2 linked regions of the Pelodiscus sinensis genome follow. The protein of the gene in region 1 purifies or fractionates together with the protein of each later gene. This does not show direct contact. Links are inferred from orthologs where the notes say so. Each region holds a gene or a part of one and is shown in the gene's direction. Other genes may lie near its edges.

Evidence for each region. The genes of interacting proteins can lie anywhere in the genome.
Region 2: the proteins of PLN (region 1) and ATP2A1 purify together in Homo sapiens (affinity purification with western blotting, with the first as the bait; 3 studies listed by BioGRID). This does not show direct contact. The link is inferred for Pelodiscus sinensis from reciprocal best matches to the Homo sapiens genes PLN and ATP2A1.

The regions. Positions count from the first base shown.
Region 1 is NC_134713.1:84,694,182-84,697,928, forward strand, and holds the start of PLN (phospholamban), read left to right. Parts: upstream 1-1,029; 5' UTR 1,030-1,173; intron 1,174-2,747; 5' UTR 2,748-2,819; intron 2,820-3,747. UniProt on the Homo sapiens protein: Reversibly inhibits the activity of ATP2A2/SERCA2 in cardiac sarcoplasmic reticulum by decreasing the apparent affinity of the ATPase for Ca(2+).
Region 2 is NW_027465819.1:226,429-230,175, reverse strand, and holds the start of ATP2A1 (sarcoplasmic/endoplasmic reticulum calcium ATPase 1), read left to right. Parts: upstream 1-1,366; 5' UTR 1,367-1,549; coding exon 1,550-1,667; intron 1,668-3,747. UniProt on the Homo sapiens protein: Key regulator of striated muscle performance by acting as the major Ca(2+) ATPase responsible for the reuptake of cytosolic Ca(2+) into the sarcoplasmic reticulum.

The DNA.
Region 1 (3,747 bases):
GCTCTGGTTGTGTTAAAAGTTATTGCAACAGTTTTACAGGACCTGGCTTCGTTTAACTAGGGGTAAAGTCTAAGAGTAACTCATCAAAACAGTGCAGAAAAGTATTTTAATGCAAACACTATATATTTTAAAAAAGCTGCAAGGCAAAACCATTCTCTCAGCAAATGACTTTCTATCTGGTTTGTGTTCTCTATTTAAGCTGCACAATTTACAGAGCAGGAAACACATCTTCCTTTGTTTACTAATGTACCAAATATATTATCTGTGCTTTATTACAAAGAACGATCATATCTGACCACAATATAATTTGGTTTGAGGTAAAGGGCAAAAGAAGTAACTATTTTAAGACTATCTGGAAAGCTAAAAGCATCCCTCTTTATCTGGGCGAAACCCTGCCCCACATCTAATTTGTAGAAGTGGAGACCTTAAGATGCATCAGTTTCTCTGTGGTGGGGAAGGAAAGTTTTAGAGAACATAACACAGAGAGAATAGTGATCAAGTGTATAACAATATTAAAAGCTCTCTCACAGCTTAGTAAATCCCTTTTAACACATGAAAATGGTTCAGAGCTTTTGAAGATACTTTCAAGACCCATAAGGAAAAAAAAGGATATAATTTATATGGAAGCAAAATATCCAAATAGTGGCGTTTTTTTATCATAGGAAAATATTTTTTCATTGTAGCAAATTTACCATTTTGAAGAAATTTCTAGTGTATTCTTAATTAATCACAAATTTATATAAAAGTTACTAAAAATACTACATATTGACATGCAAGCTCATCCCCATGTTTGCAAACACTAGATCATATCACTGCCCATGCCCTTCGGTTCATGCCCATGCAGACTGTTTTCCTTCTGTACACTTTCTTTAAAAATGTGGCCAATAAAAAGAGCCCCAACAAACATTTTTTGAGTGCTACCATTACTGTCATCATGAGTTTAGATGAGCAACTTCCCTGTATTAAAAGGCCATCTGATAACCAATCACAACTTTTTAATTCCTGCATGACATCATGAGCCCTGCCTCAAGCTTTTATTATTTTTTCCTCCGCCTTCTTCAATTGTTACTACAAACTTTGTGACAGACAGACAAGTTGCCAGAGAAGTCCAGACCAAGTTTCCCACAGCTCAGAGTGCAATATCCTATAATTCACTAATAATCATCAGCAGAGGTAAGGGATCGCTTCTTATTACAATTATATTGTAAGTTAAAAAATAAACTGTTCTGTGCAAACTTAACAGCCTATGCTATAAATGCTTATTTAAAATAAAACCCAAGCTGCTTTTTAAAAAAATTGCAGCACTTTTGGCATTACTGTTCCAAACCAAAATAGTGCAATGGGGATAAAAAAGGTTGGTAGTTTTGTTTTTTTAAATTATCAACTTATTTTTAATATGAAACTAAGTTTTTCCTTGGTGAATTGATTAAGCAAACAACATCACCACAGCAGAGGTCTTAATTATTTCCCCTACACCTCTACATTCTGGTTTTGGTTGGCTGGTTTTTTTGGTTGGTTTGTTTTAAAACTCAGATGGAATTTTTCTTTTTCTCATCAAAAAGTAAGTTTTAATTCAAGAGTTTACATTACTATCCTTTGATTTTAGGGTTTCTACTTCTAGTTTCATTGCCACTAGAAATCCAGCATAAAGAAAGTTAACCTGCCTATTCTTAAATCAGACAAGTTGGTTCACTTACTTAACATATTTTAAGAGAAGAATTTTTTTAATTAACACTAAATAGAGAGACCCTATTCTGATTATAAGGAAAGATTAAAACGCTGAGCCTTCATCATTTTACAGCATTTGAATTTTAATCCAAAAATACTATGTATTACTTCTGTAATTTTTTTAAACTTCTTCTTTTTTTCTGGTGGCCAGTAAAAGCCGAACTTGACCTTTCTTATGATATCTTAACTTCTGAATCCATTAATCTAATTTAAATACATGTCTCAAAAGATTAATATGTAGCAAGAAAATGCAGCTCAGCTTCACAAATATCAAAGGTAATGTTTATAAATAAAATATTCTTCTCATCCATCATTGATAAAAGTGTTGGGCACTATACAAACCAATACCCCACATGACACAGTTTTAGCTGTTTAAAATAAGACCTTTTTATAAAGGACATGAAGAACAAAAATATATGTAATTAATTTTAAAAAGGAAATGAGTAAAATAAAGGAAATGTCTGGTAAACAGGAACATTTGTCACTTAAGCTTTTCCCCCCTCTATTTTTGTGTTTATTTATTTTGTTGAGAAATCCAAGAATCCATGGCTGCATGGCTCTGGGCACGGGACAAGTATTTTCATAAATGAGAGACATATCAATTTTTAGAAATCAGGAGATTGCAAAACACACAGTCTTAATGAATTCCCATCTCTGTTCCAAATCTGTATCTGTTCCAAAACATGGCCCTGTATTTCTATCAATATATACCACATACATGCATGTTTACATTTTAGGATAAAATCCATAAATACCACAGTTTTACTAGGTTTTACTAAGTATTTCGTATTTAGACATACATTCTCCAAACACTCGTGGGAATGACAGCATGCAATTCCATTGAGAGCTGTGTGCAAAGCATTCATCAAGAATCTATCAAGATATTTGTATCTGGACACATCATCCATGTGCTAATTTGAACAGGGCACTGTTTGAACTCTATTCCTGGAATGCTTTGATGTTCTTAAGGTGAACCTTGCAGCATACAACTAGTTGAAGACTATGAAATTCTGTTATAGGAGTTGTTTCCGGAAAGGAGCAGTAATACATCTAATTTTGCCTGCAAGAGGCATTTGTCTTTGGACATTTAGGTAACAGCATTTTATTTTCTTGTCAATATTTTCATTAAAACTAAATATTCTGTCCTTTCCATACAAAGATAGGATTTGTTAATACTAAGTTTGTTACAGTAATTATAGTTAAGAAATGAACAAAAAGTTAGAGTTATTATACTGTGTGCATAATATACACACACACACACACACACACAAAGTTATAGCACTTAAAAATCCCCAATATAGGTTGAACCTCTCTAGTCCAGCATTTGCTGGTCCATAGTCTGGCATGATTTTAGTTAGCTGGATATCCACTTATCATAGGTGTAGATAAGTTTCCCACGATCCCATAACATTTGTTTACAGCCACTAGTCCTGGCTCTCAGTGTTCTGTGTTGTTATTTAGCTTGCTCTAAATGTACCCCTAAATGTATTCTAAGAGCCCAGTAAACAGTGGAAGTGCTGATAATGGTGCTAGACACTACTGACACACAGTGGTTCGACAAATTCTCTGGTTCAGCACCAGGCAGGTCCCAAGGGTGCCTGATTAGAGGGGTTCAACCTGTATTAAACTCTTTATAAAATATATCCATGGCTATAACCGGTGAGATTCTTGTATGATATAAATCAATCCACAGGCTTTAATGGAATTATTCAGATATAAATTAGATTAGAATGTGGCTCATCATCTATATATAATCTTAAAAAACCCTGCACAGGTAATAAACCATGTTGTAGAAGTCCATGAGTGTTGAGTACCAACAGAAGTATTGGTGATATACATTAAAAAAGTTTTAAACAGATTTAACAGATTAAATTTAATTTACTGTTAGCTGTAACTATCTGCTTTTTTAATTTGTCTGATTCCTTATTAATATTTAAAGACAGTTTTAAAATACTGCATACAAGAAAATGAATGAGTGTTTCATAGATCTCTAGGGATCTATTCTTATCCCATGTAGTA
Region 2 (3,747 bases), on another chromosome or scaffold:
GGGGGCTGGCTGGTGCTGTGGGCCCGGCTCACTGGGTGGGGGATCCTGGCAGACAGCTGGGGGGTAGATGTAGCTGGGGGGCTGGCTCTTGCCGTGGGCCCGGCTCGCTGGGTGGGGGATCCAGGCAGGGGGGGGGTGGATCTAGCTGGGGGGCTGGCCAGTGCCGTGGGCCCGGCTCGCTGGGTGGGGGATCCAGGCAGTTGGGGGGGGGGTGTGGATCTAGCTGGGGGGCTGGCCGGTGCCATGGGCCTGGCTCACTGGGGGGGGGATCCAGGCAGACAGCTGGGGGGTGGATCTAGCTGGGGGTCTGGCTGGTGCCGTGGGCCCGGCTTGCTGGGTGGGGGATCCAGGCGGGGGGGGGGTGGATCTAGCTGGGGGGCTAGCCAGTGTCATGGGCCCGGCTCGCTGGGTGGGGGATCCAGGCAGTTGGGGGGGGGTGTGGATCTAGCTGGGGGGCTGGCCGGTGCCGTGGGCCCGGCTCGCTGGGTGGGGGATCCAGGCAGACAGCTGGGGGGTGGATCTAGCCGGGGGGCTGGCCGGTGCCATGGGCCCAGCTCGCTGGGTGGGGGATCCAGGCAGTTGGGGGGGGTGTGGATCTAGCCGGGGGGCTGGCTGGTGCCGTGGGCCCGGCTTGCTGGGTGGGGGATCCAGGCAGTTGGGGGGGGGTGTGGATCTAGCCGGGGGGCTGGCCGGTGCCGTGGGCCCGGCTCGCTGGGTGGGGGATCCAGGCAGACAGCTGGGGGGTGGATCTAGCCGGGGGGCTGGCCGATGCCGTGGGCCCGGCTCGCTGGGTGGGGGATCCAGGCGTGGGGGGTGGATCTAGCTGGGGGGCTAGCCAGTGTCATGGGCCCGGCTCGCTGGGTGGGGGATCCAGGCAGACAGCTGGGGGGTGGATCTAGCCGGGGGGCTGGCCGGTGCCATGGGCCCGGCTCGCTGGGTGGGGGATCCTGGCAGACAGCCGGCGGGTTTAGCTAGGGCCGGGTCTCAGCTGGTGGGGGATGTGGGGGGACGGGTCCTGGGCGAGGCCCGGGGTGAACGTGAGTCCGAGGGGCACCGCGCTGCCCGTGTCCCTTATGGCCAAGCGACAGAAATAACCCCCCCGGAGCCGAGGGGCAGGCCGGGGGATGTTTCTTGCAAGGAGCTGGTGGCCGTTGAGTGACACCTCGGTGTGCAGCCGCCTGAGCTGCTCTCCGAAGTCACCTCGCAGCCTTCCTCCGGCTGCCTCAAGTCAGCAAAAATACCTCCCTGTGCAGAATGCCATATGTGTGCCGGCGCCTGCCGTGATGTCAGGGGAGCTGCCCAATGGGAGCACAGGGACGGGGCCCGGGAGTCTGCCCTGCGGGCGCCCTCATAAGGACCAGGGCCGGCCCCGGCCCCACCGAGGCAGTGTGTAGCGGGCCGGGTCGGGCGGGCTCCCTGTGGGATACAGGCGGCCAGGAGGGCCATGCGCTGCTGAGAGCCAGGGGCACGAGGCGGGAGGCGCTGAGACAGCGACTGAGCAGGGAGGCCGAGCCAGAGGGACGGGGCGCACAGCGCGGGTGGGGCAGCCATGGAGAACGCCCACGCAAAGACCGTGGAGGAGTGCCTGGCCTACTTCGGCGTGAGCGAGCACAGCGGCCTGACGCCTGAGCAAGTGAAGAAGAACCTGGACAAATACGGCCCCAATGGTACGTGCGGGCAGCACCCCAGCCGCGAGGGGAATGAGACGGGGCCGGTGGAGAGGGAGGCTGGGGAGCCAGAAAGAGGCAGGTGCAGGGCGGAACTGGCCCAGGTGTCCGCGGAGGCTGGACACACTGTGGCAGGATGGAATGGAAGACACAGAGAGGCTGGGGAGCCAGAAAGAGGCAGGTGCAGGGCGGAACTGGCCCAGGTGTCCGCGGAGGCTGGACACACTGTGGCAGGGATGGAATGGAAGACACAGAGAGGCTGGCAGAAGCCGCCGGGCCTTGGGAAGGACGGAGAGAGAGAGGAGAGCCAGGTGCCAGGCAGGACTCAGCAGGGCTCCTGGAGCTGTCTACTGCAGCCCGAGGAGCCATGTGTAGACTAGGAGAGCCGCACATGGATGAGTGAAGCTTCATATAGGCCCAGGTAGCTTTGTATGTACTGGGGGCCTGCATATAGGCCCAGAGAGCTGCGTATAGACCAGGGGACGCATATCCCCAGAGAGATGCATATAGACCAGGAGCTGTGTATAGACCAAAGGAGCCATGTATAGGATGGGGGAGCCGTGTATGGACCAAGAGAGCCACTTTTAGGCCTGGGTAACCACATATAGACCAGAGGAACAGCCTCTAGGCCAGGGAAGTTGCATGTATACCAGGGAGCTACATATCACAGCCCATGGAGCCTCTTCTGGACCAAGGGAGCGGCATGTAGACCAGGGGAGCAGCGTATATCAGCCTGGGTGCTGCTCATAGACCAGAGGAGCTGTGTGTAGGCCGGGAGTGGCGTATAGACCCGGGGAGCAGCGTATCTCAGCCTGGGTGCTGCATATAGACCAGTGGAGCGGCGTATAGACCCGGGGAGCGGTGTATCTCAGCCTGGGTGCTGCATATAGACCAGAAGATCCGTGTGTAGACCAGCAGAGCGGCATGTAGACCTGGGGAGCAACGTATCTCAGCCTGGGGTGTTGCATATAGACCAGTGGAGCGGCGTATAGACCCGTGGAGCGGCGTATCTCAGCCTGGGTGCTGCATATAGACCAGTGGAGCGGTGTATAGACCAGGGAAGCAGCGTATATCAGCCTGGGGTGCTGCATATAGACCAGTGGAGCGGCGTATAGACCCGGGGAGCGGCGTATCTCAGCCTGGGTGCTGCATATAGACCAGTGAGCGGCGTATAGACCAGGGGAGCGGCGTATCTCAGCCTGGGTGCTGCATATAGACCAGGGGAGTCGTGTGTAGGCCGGGGGAGCAGTGTATAGACCAGGGGAGCAGCGTATATCAGCCTGGGGTGCTGCATATAGACCAGTGGAGCGGTGTATAGACCCGGAGAGCGGTGTATCTCAGCCTGGGTGCTGCATATAGACCAGTGAGCGGCATATAGACCCGGGGAGCGGTGTATCTCAGCTGGGTGTTGCATATAGACATGGGGAGCGGCGTATAGACCCGGGGAGCAACGTGTAGACCAGGGGAGTGGCGTATATCAGCCTGGGTGCTGCATATAGACCAGAGGAGCCGCGTGTAGGCCGGGGAGCGGCGTATAGACCAGGGGAGCGGCGTATAGACCAGGGGAGTGGCATATCTCAGCCTGAGTGCTGCGTATAGACCAGAGGAGCCATGTGTAGACCAGCAGAGCGGCGTGTAGACCTGGGCAGCGGCGTATCTCAGCCTGGGGTGCTGCGTATAGACCAGGGGAGCGGCGTATCTCAGCCTGGTGTGCTGCGTATAGACCAGGGGAGCCGTGTGTAGGCCGGGGGAGCGGCGTATAGACCAGGGGAGTGGCATATCTCAGCCTGGGTGCTGCGTGTAGGCCAGGGGAGCAGTGTATAGACCAGGGGAGCGGCGTATCTCAGCCTGGGGTGCTGCGTATACACCAGAGGAGCGGCGTATAGACCCGGGGAGCGGCGTATCTCAGCCTGGGGTGCTGCGTATAGACTAGGGAGCCATGTGTAGGCCGGGGGAGCGGCGTATAGACCAGGGGAGCGGCGTATCTCAGCTGGGGTGCTGCGTATAGACCAGGGGAGCCATGTGTAGGCCGGGGGAGCAGCGTATAGACCAGGGAGCGGCGTATCTCAGCCTGGGGTGC